2 linked regions of the Caenorhabditis elegans genome follow. The protein of the gene in region 2 interacts with the protein of the main gene of each other region in a pairwise test. Each region holds a gene or a part of one and is shown on either strand. Other genes may lie near its edges.

Evidence for each region.
Region 1: the proteins of prp-21 (region 2) and bed-1 interact in a two-hybrid assay, tested with the Caenorhabditis elegans proteins (one large-scale study listed by BioGRID).

Annotation. Positions count from the first base shown.
Region 1 is NC_003283.11:19,122,417-19,127,232, reverse strand, and holds the start of bed-1 (BED-type domain-containing protein), read left to right. Parts: upstream 1-2,319; 5' UTR 2,320-2,325; coding exon 2,326-2,581; intron 2,582-4,787; coding exon 4,788-4,816.
Region 2 is NC_003280.10:482,606-487,421, forward strand, and holds the start of prp-21 (uncharacterized protein), read left to right. Parts: upstream 1-2,260; 5' UTR 2,261-2,263; coding exon 2,264-2,369; intron 2,370-2,499; coding exon 2,500-2,788; intron 2,789-2,874; coding exon 2,875-3,034; intron 3,035-3,256; coding exon 3,257-3,626; intron 3,627-4,407; coding exon 4,408-4,687; intron 4,688-4,816. Other genes in the region: gldi-1 (NLE domain-containing protein), read right to left, coding at 1-30, 314-497, 1,049-1,325, 1,369-1,444, 1,496-1,589, 1,637-1,773.

The sequences.
Region 1 (4,816 bases), on a different chromosome or scaffold from region 2:
GGAGCCAGCTCTCTCACATTTTGACAAATTTATTGTTTAGAAGCCTAAAATGGCAATATTGAACAGAAATTTCGAATGTTTCAGCGAAAAAATCGATTTAAAATTGGGTTACGGAAGCTTTAAAGGCGCATATAGCCAAAAATTGAGAAATCAGGTTTTTCTGGCATTTTCAACCAATTTTTAGAAATTTTTGTTCATTTTTTGCGAAAAAACGAAAGAAAACCAAAAAATTGAGCCAACAGCAGAGAAAAAACGATTTTCCGAAAAATTTAATGGTTACGGTAGGTTTAAAGGCGCATTGCACAATTTTTTGGGCTAAAAATGGAGAAACATGATTTTGCCCTACGGTTTAGAGTTTTTCATGTGAAAAATCTGGGAAAAACCAAAAAATTTGCTCCAAAAACTGAGAAAAATTGATTTTTTTTTTAAATTAAAAGGTTACGGTAGGTTTAAAGGCGCATCACACAAATTTTTGCGTTAAAAAGCAAAAAATTTAGTTTTTCTGTATGTTTCTTCAATTTTTTGTCAATTTTCAGTGAAAAATCAAGAAAAAACAGAAAAATTAACCCAAAAACAGAAAAAAAATCGATTTTTCGAAAATTTAAAAGGTTACAGTAGATTTAAAGGCGCATCACACAAATTTTTGGGCAAAAAGTTGAGAAAGTTGTTGAGAAAAACATTTCAACGTTTTCATGTGAAATATAAGGGAAACACCGGAAAATTAAGCACAAAACAAGGAAAAAACAATTTTTCGTAAATACTGAAAGGTTACGGTAGCTTTAAAGGCGCATTGCACAATTTTTTGGGCTAAAATGTAGAAACATGCTTTTTGCACTGATATTTATCGTTTTTCATGTGAAAAATCCAGAACAAAACTGTAAAAATGAGCCAAAACAAGAAAAATTGATTTTTTTGCAAAAATAAAAGGTTACGGTAGGTTTGAAGGCGCATAGCTGGCAAAAAATGTTGCAAAATGTTTATTTCAGCCCGCTTGATTGGCTTTTCCAGTAGAATTTGAGAAAAACGACTTTTGCCAAATATTAAAGGAATACAGGAATACGGTATGTTTAAAGGCGTATAGTTGAATTTTAATTTTAAAAAAAAACAAAAAAGAATTGCCCCGAACCAGGATCGAACTGGTGACCTCACGATCTTCAGTCGTGCGCTCTCCCAACTGAGCTATCGAGGCAGATGTGTGACACTCCTCTCGAGGCCATGAAGACAACAACTATGTACCCCCCCCCCCCCACACACTCAGCCCGTCTACCCGTCTAACACCCTCCGGCTTCCCCATTGTCTCTAGGAAGGCCGCGTGAGGCGGGGAGGCTGTCTCGGGCCCGAATTGATTGGGCCGTCTGCGGTCTCTTATGTTTGTGTGCTATCTCGTTGGGGGGTGTCTCCTGCCCAAAGGCCTCGGCTAATCCTTCATTCTTCCCGCCTTTTTCGCCTCTTGCTTATACCTTTTTTTTGCCGTTTTTACCAATTTTAGAGGTTTTGGAATAATTTTTGTGCAAATGTATAATAAGGTTGGAATAGTAATAATATTAAAAATTAATAAGAAAATGCGAAGAAAAAAAAACAAAAAAAAATCGCTTTTTCTCAAATTTTTCGAGTTATGCGCCTTTAAACCTACAGTAACTCTTTTCTTTTTGCAAAAAATCGCCGATTTTTATTGTTTTTTCTTGACTTTTAACGGTAAAAAGTAAAAAAATCCCGAAAATTCACAATTTTCCTAAAATTATTCGAGTTATGCGCCTTTAAACCGACCGTAACCCAATTTTGCGATTTTTTGTTGGTTTTTATTGTTTTTTCGCAAATTTTTCGGTAAAATTTTTTAAAAATGAAAATTTATTCAATTTCAGCACATTTTAACATTTTTCCAAGTTTTTTCTGCAAAATTTTTAGCCTATGCGCTTTTAAAACCACCGCAAAATAGGTTTTCTTTTCTGCAAAAGATGATTTTTGGGCTTTTTTAAAAAATTTTCGTTGCTTTTTACGCTTTTTTCTCAATTTTTTGGCATAAAAATGATGAAAAATCATTGAAAATCGCTAAAATACAAATATTTTCCAAGACTCCAGCAAAATTTTGAGTGATGCGCCGTTAAACCTACAGTAACCCACTTTTTTGTTTTGCATATCGATTTTTGAGTTTTTAAACTGATTTTCAACGGTTTCCTTGATTTTTTTTGTAAAAAATGTCGAAAAATATGATTTTATTTTTTATTTTTTTTAGGAAAATGTAAAAAATAAATACATATCCCGCAAAAAATCGATTTTTCCACTCAAAACCTTTTTTTTTCTTGAAAAATATTCAAACTTTCAGAAATGGAATCCACTCAAAAAGACATCAAGCTAGAACCCGACGAATTTAACTACATAATTGCTCCAGGAGCACCAGAATCTGAAAATTTAGCTGAAAATCCTGAAAACCCCGTAGATTTATCGGAAATTCCGTTGGAAACGAAGCCGGCGTGGTTTCCGTCGTCAAAAGGCCGGTCTATTGTGTGGGAGCACATTACGTGGGTGGCTGAAAGCCAACGAGCCGCCTGTAATTATTGTGCTGCTGAATTTCAAGTTAAAGGTGACGTTTGACTACAAACTACAAGGTTTTAGAGAAAATTTGAAGAAAAATGACACTAAAACTACAGAATTGCAAAAAAAAATCGAAAAAAATGATTCAATTTGAGCAAAAAATGACAGAAAATCGAAAAAAAAGGCGCTGCTAACACTACAAACTACAAGATTTTGGGCGCTGCTAAGACTACAAACTACAAGATTTTGGGCGCTGCTAAAGCTACAAACTACAAAATTTTGGACGCTGCTAACACTACAAACTACAAGATTTTGGGCGCTGCTTAGACTACAAACTACAAGATTTTGGGCGCTGCTTAGACTACAAACTACAAGATTTTGGGCGCTGCTAATTCAATTTTGGGCGCTGCTAAAGCTACAAACTACGAAATTTTGGACGCTGCTAACACTACAAACTACAAGATTTTGGGCGCTGCTTAGACTACAAACTACAAGATTTTGGGCGCTGCTAAGACTACAAACTACAAGATTTTGGGCGCTGCTAAGACTACAAACTACAAAATTTTAGGCGCTGCTAAGACTACAAACTACAAGATTTTGGGCGCTGCTAAGACTACAAACTACAGGATTTTGGGCGCTGCTAATTCAATTTTGGGCGCTGCTAAGACTACAAACTACAAAATTTTGGGCGCTGCTAAGACTACAAACTACAAAATTTTGGGCGCTGCTAATTCAATTTTGGGCGCTGCTAAGACTACAAACTACAAGATTTTGGGCGCTGCTAATTCAATTTTGGGCGCTGCTAAGACTACAAACTACAAGATTTTGGGCGCTGCTAAGACTACAAACTACAAAATTTTGGACGCTGCTAACACTACAAACTACAAGATTTTGGGCGCTGCTAAAGCTACAAACTACAAAATTTTGGACGCTGCTAACACTACAAACTACAAGATTTTGGGCGCTGCTTAGACTACAAACTACAAGATTTTGGGCGCTGCTTAGACTACAAACTACAAGATTTTGGGCGCTGCTAATTAAATTTTGGGCGCTGCTAAAGCTACAAACTACGAAATTTTGGACGCTGCTAACACTACAAACTACAAGATTTTGGGCGCTGCTTAGACTACAAACTACAAGATTTTGGGCGCTGCTAAGACTACAAACTACAAGATTTTGGGCGCTGCTAAGACTACAAACTACAAAATTTTAGGCGCTGCTAAGACTACAAACTACAAGATTTTGGGCGCTGCTAAGACTACAAACTACAGGATTTTGGGCGCTGCTAATTCAATTTTGGGCGCTGCTAAGACTACAAACTACAAAATTTTGGGCGCTGCTAAGACTACAAACTACAAAATTTTGGGCGCTGCTAATTCAATTTTGGGCGCTGCTAAGACTACAAACTACAAGATTTTGGGCGCTGCTAATTCAATTTTGGGCGCTGCTAAGACTACAAACTACAAGATTTTGGGCGCTGCTAAGACTACAAACTACAGGATTTTGGGCGCTGCTAATTCAATTTTGGGCGCTGCTAAGACTACAAACTACAAAATTTTGGGCGCTGCTAAGACTACAAACTACAAGATTTTAGGCGCTGCTAATTCAATTTTGGGCGCTGCTTAGACTACAAACTACAAAATTTTGGGCGCTGCTAATTCAATTTTGGGCGCTGCTAAGACTACAAACTACAAGATTTTGGGCGCTGCTAAGACTACAAACTACAGGATTTTGGGCGCTGCTAATTCAATTTTGGGCGCTGCTAAGACTACAAACTACAAAATTTTGGGCGCTGCTAAGACTACAAACTACAAAATTTTGGGCGCTGCTAATTCAATTTTGGGCGCTGCTAAGACTACAAACTACAAGATTTTGGGCGCTGCTAAGACTACAAACTACAGGATTTTGGGCGCTGCTAATTCAATTTTGGGCGCTGCTAAGACTACAAACTACAAAATTTTGGGCGCTGCTAAGACTACAAACTACAAAATTTTGGACGCTGCTAACACTACAAACTACAAGATTTTGGGCGCTGCTAATTCAATTTTTGGGCGCTGCTAAGACTACAAACTACAAAATTTTGGGCGCTGCTAAGACTACAAACTACAAGATTTTGGGCGCTGCTAAGACTACAAACTACAAGATTTTGGGCGCTGCTAAGACTACAAACTACATAAATTGGGCGCTGCTAACCTCAATTTTAAGGTTTTTCAACGATTTTTCGCATATTTTTTACTTTTTTTTTAAATTTTCAGGTGGAACATCAGCACTATTACGTCATTTG
Region 2 (4,816 bases):
GTCGGCTCTCCACATTTTTACGGTTCGGTCCTGAAAATTTTTTTTATTGTGAAGGAGTCTGGCTTGAAATTTATGTTTTAAAAAAATTCGAAATTAGGAGAATAAATTGATTACGGTAGGTTTTATGCGATTTTCATGGTTTTCGAACTATTTTTTAAATATGCGCGAGTTTAAGTTAATTCGGATTCGTTTGTGATCATTCGGTGTTTAAAATCAGTTTGCGCATTTCAAAGTGACATCCCCGTCGTTGAATTTTCAACGTTTTTAAAAAATATTTTCAAGATTTTTCACAACTTTTCCTGCAAAAAGTTACCTGAGATCCGGAATAAATAAGTCCTTCGCCTCCCCAACGCAGACAGGTGACCGAAGCAGTGTGTCCACTCAAACAGCGAACTACAGTACCCTGTACGGTATCCCAAATGAAAATATTTCCGTCTTTTCCACAAGAAGCCAGAAGCCTGCACGTCGGGTCTTTGTGCATCGGTTGCCATGCCAAACTGCAAAAATTTTATTATAAAAATTCGATTTGAAATGGAAATGTTTAGTTTTTATGTTGAAAAATTAATTTTTGGCTAATATTTGAGAGAAAAACTCGGGTTTTCTGAAGCTTTCTGTTAAAAATCACATTTTTCCACTATGGATGATAAGTAAACTCATAGAAAATATTAAAAATTCGATTTAAAATACCCAAATTATTGGAATTCGAAATGGGTCTGCTAGACTACAAATTACAAATTTCGATTTAGCAGACCCAAGTGGTTTTGAAGAAGTTTGGGTCTGCTAGACTACAAACTACAACTTTCGATTTAGCAGACCCAAGTGATTTTGAAGTGATTGGGTCTGCTAGACTACAAACTAGAAATTTCGATTTAGCAAACCCAAATAATAGTGATTTTCAAAAGGGTTTCAGTAAAAATACATCGTTTCAGTGGGGTTTTAATGGAAATTTTAAGAGAACATTGTAGTGATAAATACAATTTTACGGCGATTTTTTGTAGAAAACCCAAATTTTCAAGACATTTCAGTGATAAATGCGATTTTCCTGCACCTCGTGATCCATTGCTTGTGCCTTTTGAGCGTTTTTCCGATTTGCTCTCCGGTTTTCGCGTTCCAAATGCAAATTTCTCCGTTTTTGCAAGCCGAAGCGATTTTCGTAGCATCCGGTGACCAGGCGATGCAGAGAACCCAACTTTTATGGGATTTACACGTGTGGAGAGGCAACTCGAGCTCAATATCCCAGATTCGCATTGTTTGATCGCCGGAGCCCGACGCTAGACCACGTCCGTCAGGGCTGAACTGAGCAGAGATTACTGGCTCTCCGTGACCTGAAAAATATATTTAAATGCGTCAAAACGATCAAAAAATTACCTGGAATGCTAGCGGAGCATCTGGTAACTGGTCTCACACGGAACACTGCTTGTGGCTGATAAACAAGCTTTAATGTCTGAAATTTTAAATTTTTTAAAAAGTTTTCTATCTTCTTTCAAGGGCTTACAGTCTCAAAATCAATTTCCTCTAACGATTTTCGAATGGAATCGACAATTTCAGCGCCTTCTGTGGTGAAGAAGGAAATCGGCACAGGATCGTCACTGAAAACTCAGGATGAGATACAGAAAATTCATTATTCAAACAAAACCTGCTCCCGAGAAGCTGATTACACAAAATTTGCAGCTCATTCGTGGAGATGTCCACTGGAACAAGGATTCCCGATCCTCCGAGCTCGTTTTCGTCCTCTGACACGAAGCTGACCGAGATTTGTGGACTTTCAGTCATTTTGTTACCTGAAACCGTTTGAGTTTTAATTATTTTGAAAGTTATAACAAGGGAAATCGTTGAAATTGAACTGGAAATCGAAGAAATTCGTTAAGAAATTGCGCTAAATAAATTATTTTTCTCAGTGGAGCGAAGAAAGAAATACAGTGGAAAAAGTTAGGCCATCACTTTTTAGCATTCATTTGTATAGAGAAAACTGTAAATTTTTTACAGATTGTTATGTTTTTACACAATATAAAACATTTTTAACGTAACAGCAGTAAAAACTATGTCGAAAACAATAAAGAATAGATAAAAACCTACCGGGAAAATTTGAATTTGGTCATGGTCGAGTTCTGTAGTGGCCTAGTAACCTCCACTTAATATTCGAAAACGTTTATTTTTCAGTTTATTGCTTTATTTCTCTATTTTTAATTAAATTATTAATTTTCCTGAATTTTTTGCGAAATTTACGAATTTTCAAATTATTTATCTTATAAATTTGCAGAAAATGACTGCAGTTGTCTCAAACCGCGAGGAGGACTCGATGAACAACGAGCCCTCGTTGTCAGGGCGTGCGATTATTGGATTAATCTACCCGCCGCCGGATATTCGCAGTAAGTTTTATAGTTTAAACCAAAAATAAAACAGTTCTGCATGGTTTTGGAAAGATTTCACGCGGAATTCCGCAAAAACTAGGGCAAATCGATATTTTCCAAAAATAAGCAATACATTTTCAATTTTCAGCAATCGTCGACAAAACCGCCCGTTTCGCTGCAAAAAATGGAGTGGACTTTGAGAATAAAATCCGCGAAAAGGAGGCGAAAAACCCGAAATTCAACTTTCTCTCCATCACAGACCCATACCATGCCTACTACAAAAAGATGGTCTACGATTTCTCAGAAGGCCGAGTTGAGGCTCCGAAAGTACCGCAAGCAGTGAAAGAGCACGTGAAAAAGGCTGAATTTGTGCCTTCAGCTCCACCGCCGGCCTACGAGTTCTCAGCGGATCCATCCACGATTAACGCCTATGATTTGTAAGTTTTTTAGAACTTCTAGAACTAAAATTAGATGAAAAAGCTATTTTTAACCTAAAATGAAGTGAAAACCTTATAAATTGCAGAGATTTGATCCGACTCGTTGCTCTGTTCGTTGCACGAAATGGCCGTCAATTTCTGACTCAATTGATGACACGAGAAGCCAGAAATTATCAATTCGACTTTTTGAAACCGGCTCATTGCAACTTTACATACTTCACAAAGCTCGTTGATCAATATCAGAAGGTAAAAATCAAGAAAATCTGCGTATTTCTAAGAATTTTTAAAAAAATCTAGATTTTTCGGTTGAAAACTCAAAAAAAATCCAGCTTTTTCGGTAGAAAACTCAAAAAAAAAACATTTTGATAACTTTTTCACTATTTTCAGTTTAAAGATGGCGGAAAAGTGAGCTTTATAACTTTTATTTGAAATTTTTAAGCTAAAAGTTGCTAAAATATCAGTTTTCAGGTTCTGGTGCCCTCTACCAACGTAGTTGCCCAACTCCAAGACGATGCTACCAACAAAAAACGTCTCATAGAAGATATCAATTATCGTGTATCCTGGGAAAAACATCAAAAAGGTCTAAAAGATCGCGAGGAGGCAGAAGCCGAGAAAGAGCGTCAAGCCTATGCATCAATCGATTGGCATGACTTTGTAGTTGTTCAGACTGTAGATTTCCAGCCAGGAGATACTTCTCAGCTTCCACCACTATGCACACCAAAGGACGTTGGAGCCCGTATTCTTTTGGAAGCGAGAAATGAAATGCAAAAGGCGGCGGCTGAAATGCAGGAAATGGATATGGAAGAGAGTGATTCCGATGACGAAGATGCCGTTCAAGGTGCTTTTTTGGAGCATTTTACGTTGAAAATAGACAAAATTCACTTTTTTCCGGTTTTTTCCAACAGTTTTACTTTTAAAATAGATGGAAAACAATGGCAAACTATGAAAACGCTGAAATTCAAATTTAAGTGCTTCCAACCTGGAATATTTAAAATTTTTAGGCGAATTCACATTTTATTTCGTAGAAAACGAACAAAAATCGCAATTTTGAGTTAAAAAGTAAGATTTTTTGGGTCTGCTAAATCAAAACTTGTAGTTTGTAGTCTAGCAGACCCATTCTCTTCCAAATCACTTGGGTCTGCTAAATCGAAATGTGTAGTTTGTAGTCTTGCAGACCCAAGCTCTTCAAAACAACTTGGGTCTGCTAAATCGAAATGTGTAGTTTGTAGTCTAGCAGACCCATTCTCTGTAGAAACTACTTGGGTCTGCTAAATCGAGTTTGTAGTTTGTAGTCAAGCAGACCCAATTTCTTCCAATTCACTTGGGTCTGCTAAATCGAAAGTTGTAGTTCGTAGTCTAGCAGACCCAAAAAAATCAATTTTTTTTTATTAGCTTTGGCAAATTTTAACTCGGAAAACTAATGAATTTTTGGGACATGTGAGTTTCTATCCAAATTGATGGTATGAATATCGATATTCTCGGCTGAAAGTGCAAAAACTACCGTATTCTGACCAACAATTATTGGAATAGAGCACACGTGTCACCCGAAATACGAAAAGTATTTTTTTTTAATTTTTCAAATTTTTAAATTAAAAATGAGTATATTTATATATTTTCAGCACCAGAAGCCCCTGCATTCACTGCTCCGCTGCCACCTACAAAACAGAAAGACGTGATTGTTCGAGATTACGATCCGAAGAGAAATGTGACCCAAAAGCCAAAAGCTGTGGAGAACTGGATCATTTCACCGCTCACCGGAGAGCGTATTCCATCGGATAAGCTCGCCGAGCACGTCAGATACAATACTGTCGATTCACAGTATAAAGAGGACAGAGATCGTCATATTGGAGAAAGAAGCACGGAGGAGCCCGTATTGGCTCTTGGAGCTGATATTTCTAGGTTAACATTTCAGAAATTTCTTTGAAAAACGAACAAAAGTCTAAAAATCGCCACAATAATCTACAAAAAATCGATTTTTCGTGGAAATTTTGTTCATTTCCGCATTTTTCGCTCGAAATTTGAGATCAG